Coturnix japonica: one gene and its partner. The protein of the gene in region 2 interacts with the protein of the main gene of each other region in a pairwise test. Links are inferred from orthologs where the notes say so. Each region holds a gene or a part of one and is shown on either strand. Other genes may lie near its edges.

Evidence for each region. The genes of interacting proteins can lie anywhere in the genome.
Region 1: the proteins of CIAO1 (region 2) and CIAO2B interact in binary tests that used the Homo sapiens proteins (3 or more experiments, as listed by UniProt). The two-hybrid records come from large-scale screens. The link is inferred for Coturnix japonica from reciprocal best matches to the Homo sapiens genes CIAO1 and CIAO2B.

The regions. Positions count from the first base shown.
Region 1 is NC_029526.1:9,722,426-9,726,450, reverse strand, and holds CIAO2B (cytosolic iron-sulfur assembly component 2B), read right to left. Parts: upstream 2,569-4,025; 5' UTR 2,497-2,568; coding exon 2,364-2,496; intron 2,285-2,363; coding exon 2,205-2,284; intron 2,098-2,204; coding exon 1,972-2,097; exon of another isoform or gene 1,954-1,971; intron 1,534-1,953; coding exon 1,488-1,533; intron 983-1,487; coding exon 885-982; 3' UTR 768-884; downstream 1-767. Other genes in the region: fatty acyl-CoA hydrolase precursor, medium chain-like, read left to right, coding at 3,659-3,734.
Region 2 is NC_029537.1:1,034,243-1,039,024, reverse strand, and holds the start of CIAO1 (probable cytosolic iron-sulfur protein assembly protein CIAO1), read right to left. Parts: upstream 3,150-4,782; 5' UTR 3,125-3,149; coding exon 2,975-3,124; intron 2,428-2,974; coding exon 2,278-2,427; intron 2,012-2,277; coding exon 1,900-2,011; intron 1,316-1,899; coding exon 1,227-1,315; intron 1,045-1,226; coding exon 843-1,044; intron 1-842. Other genes in the region: TMEM127 (transmembrane protein 127), read left to right, coding at 3,263-3,518. UniProt on the Homo sapiens protein: Key component of the cytosolic iron-sulfur protein assembly (CIA) complex, a multiprotein complex that mediates the incorporation of iron-sulfur cluster into extramitochondrial Fe/S proteins.

The DNA of each region.
Region 1 (4,025 bases), on a different chromosome or scaffold from region 2:
GAGGGAGCCCCATACAGGAGGAGCTGCGATCTTCAGCCAAGTAACAATGGTTTGTCCCTTCTGTTGTTTCTATCACCTAATTAATACAACATTCACATCATTTAAAGAAATACAACAGATCCAAAGTTATGGAATTATCCATCCTTCAGTAGCAGAAGTCAGACCTTTTCTTTGACACTGTGTAATGAATTCCCTTTATTGAAAAGATGCTCCTCAACTACATACTATGAACAACCTAAGCATATACTGTTGCTTCTCTGAAAAAGGAAGCAGTGCAAAGTGTACCCATAGGACTGCTGTGTGTAACATGGCTTGGGAGGCAAGTGGTAACATCCAATACGTTATTTACTACTATTATTATGTAGTGGTGAAAGCTAAGATGCGGATTAAGTATAATTTACTAATTCCTCCTCTGTTTGATGTGTAGGTTAAAGCAATCTGTTTGTGACCTACTCATCTTTGTAAAAATCTTGATGTTTAAAGGAAAATCTGTCAAAGTCCAAAATAATCATGAGTATAAAGATTTTAACTGCTGCTTAGCTTGGTATACTTGTGAAACCCAATGTGCAAAAGCCACTTTCATAATGCAGTTTATAGATAGTAAGAAACCTGTTTAAAAACAAGTTCAACCAAATATTCTTTAAAAGTTCAGATAAAAACCCCATCAGTGCAATTATTAGCAAACAGAAAAAGCCAATTTACATTATAGCTTTATAGCTGCCAGCAAGCTAATTTTCTCCATACTACTTTAATTTGTTTTGACGAAGTAATGGAACGCTTCTATAATGTAGTTTTATTTTGCTCATAGATGCATGTAACACTAGCAACATCACTCACATACAAAATTAATACAGCAGAATACCACTGGTTTCCTGATCAGGCAATTACGATCGAGCAGACAAACACTGATTTACCACTTCCAATAAGTGAGAGTTCTCCAAAGCAGCTGCTACACGTTCTTTATCAGCAAGCTGTTTATTAACTGTACAAAAAGAAATACCACAAGGAACCGGTCAAAATATTGGTATAAGAGGTCCTTTTAGAAGCACTTTACAGTGAGTCTCATTGTTGCTGTGGTACTGAGCTACAATCCACAGATGCTAACTACACCACAAAGCTGTGGCCAAAAGTCAATGACAGTTCTGTAGCAGATCTGAAACCAGTAAGTTATTTATGATTCAGCAGCAGGAAGCTGTGCACATGTAACAGGACAGGAAATTTACCTCCAGCTCTCCCCCCTCTTTCTGTGCCTTCCAGGTAAATCAATGACGACTTGACAGCACAAGCTGTCCAAGGAAACATTTAAACTAAGACACTACACACTTTTAAGTTTTGTTATTACATATTCCCATTCTGTAACATCTCCTAGAAGGGGCTGGTTTGCATACAGGTACCAAACAGCTGATCTGCAGGTGGAGGGATCTATCTTTTCTCTAATTTTTAGAGTAATAAAAGAAAACCACACAACAGAGCATTAAAACATTTACCTGCGTGTTCAGAGGCATGTGTTCCTGGTGTTATGTGAACGTCCATCTTAAAAAGCATGGAGAAAGAAAAAGGAGACAAGTCAATAAAACCCTCAAAGATGAAAGTATTTAATTAAGAAAATAGCAAAATAAAGCAACAATGAAAGACATTCCTGACACAGCCAGCTACTGTACCCAGAAGAATAAAACCCAGTCCAAAAGAACACTGCACTCCCACCTGAGTAAGCCTCCGACAGGCAGGGAGGTGAAGCACTGCCATCTCCTGTGCCCTCGTGCCTTTACACCACAACCTCACTCACCTGTGATGCTATAGCACAGAACTGCAGCTCTGCACCAATCTGTTTGTTTAGTTTTTTCCTTGGCCTGGAGTGTTTCCCTCCTCCATAACATGGAACCTAAAGTTCTAGTGGCTTCATTTTCTAATTTAGCTGTTTTCTGAACACCGTCTGTCTCTTCTGCTTTCCAGAGCGATTTTACCACTCACCTTAAACCTCTCGGGCAGTGATCTGATCAGTTTCACCTTTATGGACAGGCCGATGAGCGTTGCCATGCTGCAGTGCGGGATCGTGGGTGTGAACTCCACCACTACGGTGCTCTCAGCATCGTTCACCTGTTGGAAAACAAACAGGCGTGTGGCCAAAAAATAAGAATACAAAAACAATGTAATGAGCAAACAAGTTGGAAACAAATCAACAACAAAAAACAAGACAGTCTCACTTTAACTCGAACTTGCTCGACGACATTCAGCTCCTCCAGGGTCAGGGGATGCTCGGGGTCGTTAATGGAGCGGATGAGATGTGCCGCGTTAAGGAAAGCAGGATGGAGGCCGCCCTCCCCGCATCAAACCCCCCCATCCCCTCCCTGCCGGCAGGATATCAAAGATCTCCCGGTCGTCGATAGAGTCGGGCAGCTCATCGTCCTCCTCCCGCGCCGTCACGGGCCGCTCCCCCGAGCGGCGGTACACGAGCGGGTTGGCGTTCTCCAGCGGCGCAGCGCCCGGACCCACCATGTCTGCGCTGCAGGAGGAGCGGAAGGAGCCCGGACGCGATTCACCAACGCACCGGGCGGGCACGGCTTGTGCGAGAGTGCCCCTGTGTGGGGGAGCGATGGAACAGCACGAAACGGGGCTGAGGCCGGCGGGGAGAGGAGATGGGCGGGGGGTATGGGGGTGTGGGTGAGCGGGGGGTGCTGTGGGGCGTCGAGGTGAGCTCCGTGCTGCGGGGGAGTTGAGTCGCGTGTTAAAAACGTTTTGCTAATACACCTGATACTGATTTTGTTCACTGAGAAGAGGGAGAAAAAGGATAAGGAGGTGATGGCCCAAGCTGCTGAGGTGAGCAGGGGCTGTTATGTGGGATAGCCCAGAGCTCATTTGAGCTGATAGGTCTCACTTCCTGCTTTGGTATTTTGAGGAGAAACTCGTTATGGTGAAAAAGCATCTAAAGAAGAACCAACTGACAAATCTGTGTTTCAAGACAGGGTGAACTTGCATGATGTATCACCCATTTGTGTTGGAGAAGATGGCTTTGCAGGCTTTATGTATCTTCGTGCTGGAGCTTTAATATCTCATTTAATTTTAAATATGCAGAAGTGTTAAAAAACTACTTTGGAAGTTGGAGGCCAGTTCTTGCAGAAAAGCACACGTACCATGCCAATTGTGGTGCAGATATGCCAGCGTTCATCAAACCTTTGCAATAGCTAAGCTTTTTTCTTTCTTCCTTTCTTCCTAGTTATTTGTAATCTGCAACCATGCTTTTTGTTGTGTTCATTTCTTTACAGGAATTGTAAGTCAGTACTTCTGAAACTCTTTGAAATTTCACTGCTTTGTAGCACTGATATTATTCAAAATATGAAGTAGTAAATACTTCAGAGGGAATTGAGGTGTGCGTAGGATTGTAGAATTAAAAACAGATTAATGAGGATAAGACCTTTTATTGTTCACAGTTGATGCGAGGCCAAATCATCCATCATCAGGATCAGGTAATGAATAGGTGTGTTACACTAAGGGATTGTATTTGTATTCCATCTCAGTAACAGCTCTGAAAGTGCTAATGCGGTGCATTTTCAGAAGGGGATTTAGCTGTACTCCCTACTACACAGTCAGCAGAGACCTTTGTACCAGTGTCTTCCGCATAGAGAACAGAAAATAACCTGGAATCCAACCTGGGAGAAAAATGGCTCCTCAAACGCAGATTTCTTTGCTTTATATCTTGTTTTGTGGTATAACATTCATCATTTATGGAACAGAAGGTGAGATGCAAAGTCTTTTGATTTGGATTTTTGATTATTATTTCTTTAACTGCCAATGGGGAAACAAACTGCACTAATAAATTACAGGGTAGTAGTTTTCAAAGGCAGTACTTCTCCTGTATTTGTATTAACAATCTGCAAAAGGATCCTAAGAAGCTCAGCGCAAAAGTGACTTTTTTTTTTTAATGAAACCATTTTGAGATGCTTTTATGAAAATGATAAAAGGGCTTGTTGTTTATTGAAAGGACATTGTTTTGTTGAATGGTGAATTTAAAAAATGTTGATGGTTTT
Region 2 (4,782 bases):
GCTAGAGTGTCTGCCAGAACAGGACAAAGGCCGACTGGGAGTTGATGACCATAGGGTAAGGCACTTGAGAGTGATTCCAATCTAGGTTATCCTATCTTATAGCACTGAGTGATTCCAATGCAGCAGCAACTGAGTGTATCCAATGCACAAGCCATGAGTGATCCATGTAAGCACTGAGTGATCCAACACAGCACTGAGTGATCCAACACTGAGTGATCCAACACACAGCACTGAGTGATCCAATGCACAGCACTGAGTGATCCAACACACAAGCACTGAAGTGATCCACACCGCACTTAGTGATCAATGTGTTACAGCACTGAGGATGATACCAACACACAGCACTGAGTGATCCAATCAGTACAGCACCGAGAGCACGCTGTAACCAACACACAGCACTGAGTGGATCAACACACAGCACTGAGGATCCAAGCACAGCAGCTGAGTGATTCCAACACACAGGCACTGAGTGATCCAACACAGCACTGAGTGATCCAACACACAGCACTGAGTGATCCAACACAGCACTGAGTGAATACAACACACCACAGCACTGAATGGATCAACACAGCACCTGAGTGGAATATCAACACACGGGCCATGCAAATGAGTGATACCACACAGGCACCTGGAATAGGATCACAACACAGCACTGAGATAGATACCAACACAACAGCATGAGTGATCCAACACGAGCATGAGTTGATGGCCAATGTACAGCACTGGTGATTCAACACTGAGTGATCCAACACACAGCACTGAGTGATCCAACACAGCACTGAGTGATCCAACACAGCACTGAGTGATCCAAGTCCCAGCAAGGAGCTGTGTTAGGAGCTCACCCTCCTCATTGCCCGGCTTGTAGCACTGCCAGATGCGCACGGTCTTGTCGTCGCTGCAGGACGCCAGGCGCTGCCCGCTGCCATCGAACGCGATGCTCCACACGGTGGATTCGTGACCCTCCAACGTGGCACAACAAACCCAGTCGTCCTCCTCCTCGTGGTACAGCTTCACCGTGTCGTCGTAGCTGGCTGAAGCCAGGAGCTGGGACAGGAATGGGATCAACACCCCAAACCCACAGGGATTGCAAAGCCCTGCCCCCATAGAGGACCATTCAAACCCCATCTCTTGGGAGCACTGACTCCTTATGGCCCTGTGGCTCAGATCCTTTCCCATCACACACAGTGATGCCCGCAGGTCCCGCTGCCCTTGAGCTGGGCTCTCACCTCCTGGTTGGGATGCCACACCACGTGCTTGACGTCCTGAGTGTGAGAGTTGAGGACGCTGACACACTCGTATTCCTCCTCTTCATCCACTGCGGGGAAAAACACCTTCCATGAGGGAATGGGGCCAGAAGGGACAGTATTGGGGTCAGAAGGGGCAACAATGGGGCCAGAAGGGACACAGTGGGGATGGAAGGGGCAGCAATGGGGCCAGAAGGGGCAGTATAGGGGGCAGAAGGGACAGCAATGGGGCCACAAGGGGCAGTATAGGGGGCAGAAGGGGCAGCAATGGGGCCAGAAGGGACAGTATAGGGGGCAGAAGGGGCAGCAATGGGGCCAGAAGGGACAGTATAGGGGGCAGAAGGGGCAACAATGGGGCCAGAAGGGACACAGTGGGGATGGAAGGGGCAGCAATGGGGCCAGAAGGGGCAGTATAGGGGGCAGAAGGGNGGGGCAGAAGGGGCAACAATGGGGCCAGAAGGGACACAGTGGGGATGGAAGGGGCAGCAATGGGGCCAGAAGGGGCAGTATAGGGGGCAGAAGGGGCAACAATGGGGCCAGAAGGGGCAGTATAGGGGGCAGAAGGGGCAGCAATGGGGCCAGAAGGGGCAGTATTGAGGACAGCAGGGACACAGTGGGGCCGATGCCCTTGGGGTCCCCTCATTCCCCCCCTCACCTTCCCAGACCCACACGCTCTTGTCCCGGCTGCACGTTGCCAGCAGGCTGCCCGACGGCGCCCAGGCCACCGACTTCACCTCGTTTTCGTGTCCTTCCAATGTGGTGACGCACTGTGGGGGGCACAAGGAGCTGCAGGGCGCCACTATGGGGCTGGGTTATGGGGCTGGGTTATGGGGCTGGGTTATGGGGCTGGGTTATGGGGCTGGGTTATGGGGCTGGGTTATGGGGCTGGTTATGGGGGTTGCTGGGTTAGTGGGCTGGGTTGTGGGCTTGGTTGTGGGGGTGGGCTGGTTATGGGGTGGTTGTGGGGCTGGGTATGGGCTGGGTTATGGGCTGGTTATGGGGCTGTGTTATGGGGCTGTGGGGGGGGTCTGACCTCGAAGCCGTCCTGGCAGCGCTTCCAGATGCACGTGGTGGCGTCGAAGCTGGCAGAGGCCAAATAGGAGCCACAGGGCGACCAGGCCACTCTCCTCACTGTGCGTTGGTGGCCATCAGACAGCACAGCACGGCAAGCCTCCAGCTGACCCTAATAGGGGGGGGGTGGATGGGGGACCCCAATAGGAGCCCAGCCCCCACCCCACCCACGTGTATTAGGGCCATTAAGCCCGCCCCCTCCTTTAAGCCCCTCCCACGCTCCTCTGGCCCCGCCCTTTTTACCCCACCCTCTCGGCTCCGCCTCCTATTGGCCACACCCTCCCTTAGCCCCGCCCCTTCCTTAAGCCCCTCCCACCACCATCTGGCCCCGCCCACATTCACTATGTCTCCGCCTCTACTCGTCAGCCATTGGCTGCGCCCTCTCTTAGCCCCGCCCCCTCCTTTAAGCCCCGCCCACGACCCTCTTAGCCCCGCCCCCTTTCACCGTGTTCCCGCCCCTACTCGTCACCCATTGGCCGCTCCCTCTCATAGCCCCGCCCCCATTCATTGTCCCCGCCCCTACTCATCAGCCATTGGCTGGGGCCTCCCTTAGCCCCGCCTCTACTCGTCAGCCATTGGCTGCGCCCTCTCTTAGCCCCGCCCCCACCCTTGAGGCCCCGCCCCTTCCTTCCGCCCCGTTATCCCCCTCGTTCCCGTTATCCCTCGGTACCGTCCCGCCCCCACACTCTCACGGCCCGGTCCCCGCCGCAGGACGCGATGAGGTTCCCGTTTGGGCTCCACGCCAGGAACCAGCACCGCGCCTCGGGATGCGCCGCCACGCGGCTCTGCAGCACCAGCGCCTCCTTCATCGCGTCGCACCGTAATGACGTCACACCGGAAGCGGAAGCGCCGCCATGTTGCCGCCCTAGTGACGTCACCGCCGCGCTCGCCGGAAGCGGAAGCGGAGCCCGCGGCCTGAGGCGGTGCCGGCTGTTCGGGCCGCAGCCATGTACAACCCGGCCGGGCCCGGGCTGCACGGCAGGGGGAGGCGGCGGGGAACGGCGGGAGGCGGCGGGGGGGGGGCGCTGCCCAAACAACCGGAGCGGAGCCTGGCGTCGGCGCTGCCCGGGGCTCTGTCCATCACCGCGCTCTGCACCGCGCTGGCCGAACCCGCCTGGCTCCGGATCCACGGCGGGACCTGCGGGCGGCAGGAGCTGGGGGTGGCCGATGTGATGGGGACCGTCAGGACCGAGCTGCTGAGGGGTGAGAAACGGGAGAGCGGGGAGAGTGGGGCGGTATAGGGTCCTTATGGGGCTTATAGGGTCCTTATGGGGTTATGGGGTCCTTATGGGGTCCTTATGGGGTCCCTATGGGGCTCGCTATGGGCCCGCTATGGGGTCGCTATGGGGCCGCTATGGGGCCGCTATGGGTTCGCTATAGGGCTCGGTGTGGGGTCCTTATTGGATCGGTATGGGATCGGTATGGGGCTTATTATGGGGTCCTTATGGGGTCAGTATTGGGTCGTTATGGGATCGGTATGTGGCTCGGTATGGGGCTCGCTATGGGGTCGTTATGGGGGTCCGTATGGGGTCGGTCTGGGGCTCCTATGGGGCTCAGTATGGGGTCCTTATGGGGCTCAGTATGGGGCCGGTATGGGATCGGTATGGGGCGTATTATGGGCTCGGTATGGGAATTGGTATGGAGCTGATGGGGCTCGGTATGGGGTTGTTATGGGGTCGGTATGGGGTCCTTATGGGGTTCTTATGGGGTCATTATGGGGTCTTATGGGGTCCTTATGGGGTCGCTATGGGGTCCTTATGGGATAGGTATGAGGCCCTTATGGAGCTCGGTATGGGTATCGCTATGGGGCTCGCTATGGGGTCCTTATGGGGCTCGTTACGGGTCTCATTATGAGTCTCCTTATAGGGTCTTTATGGGGTCTTTATGGGTCTATGGGGTTTTTATGGGGTTTTATAGGGTCGGTATGGGGTTTTTATGGGGTCACTATGGGGTCATTATGGGGTCCTTATGGGGCTCGATATGGGCTTGTTATGGAGTCGTTATGGGGCTCGGTCTGGGGTTGTTATAAGGCTGATGGAGTCCTTATTGGTTGTTATAGGGCCGCTATGGGGCTCCTATGGGTCATTATGGGGCTGAGGTTTGGGAGCAGCCACTTTGTGCTTCCTGCCCCTTCCATCCTTATGGCCCAACAACAACAGCCCCATCCGTGCCCTATTCCCCACCCAGCCGTTCCTATGGCCCCATATATGGGGTCAATGGGGTGACACCCCCCCCAGGAAGAGCATTCCACCCCATTGCCGTGTCCCGGTGCTAATTACCCCCCATTAAAGCTGGGGGCTGTGAGTCCATTGCAGCCCTTCCTGCTGTGGGTTGGGGTGGTGTCAGTGCATGGATCAGGCCCTTAAAGCAAAGGGGAAGGAGGAAGCTGGGCCAAGTTGTGTGTTCTGGGCTGTTTTAATGCATAAAACACAGCAAAACCCCTATAGAACCAATGTGGGTTGTATTG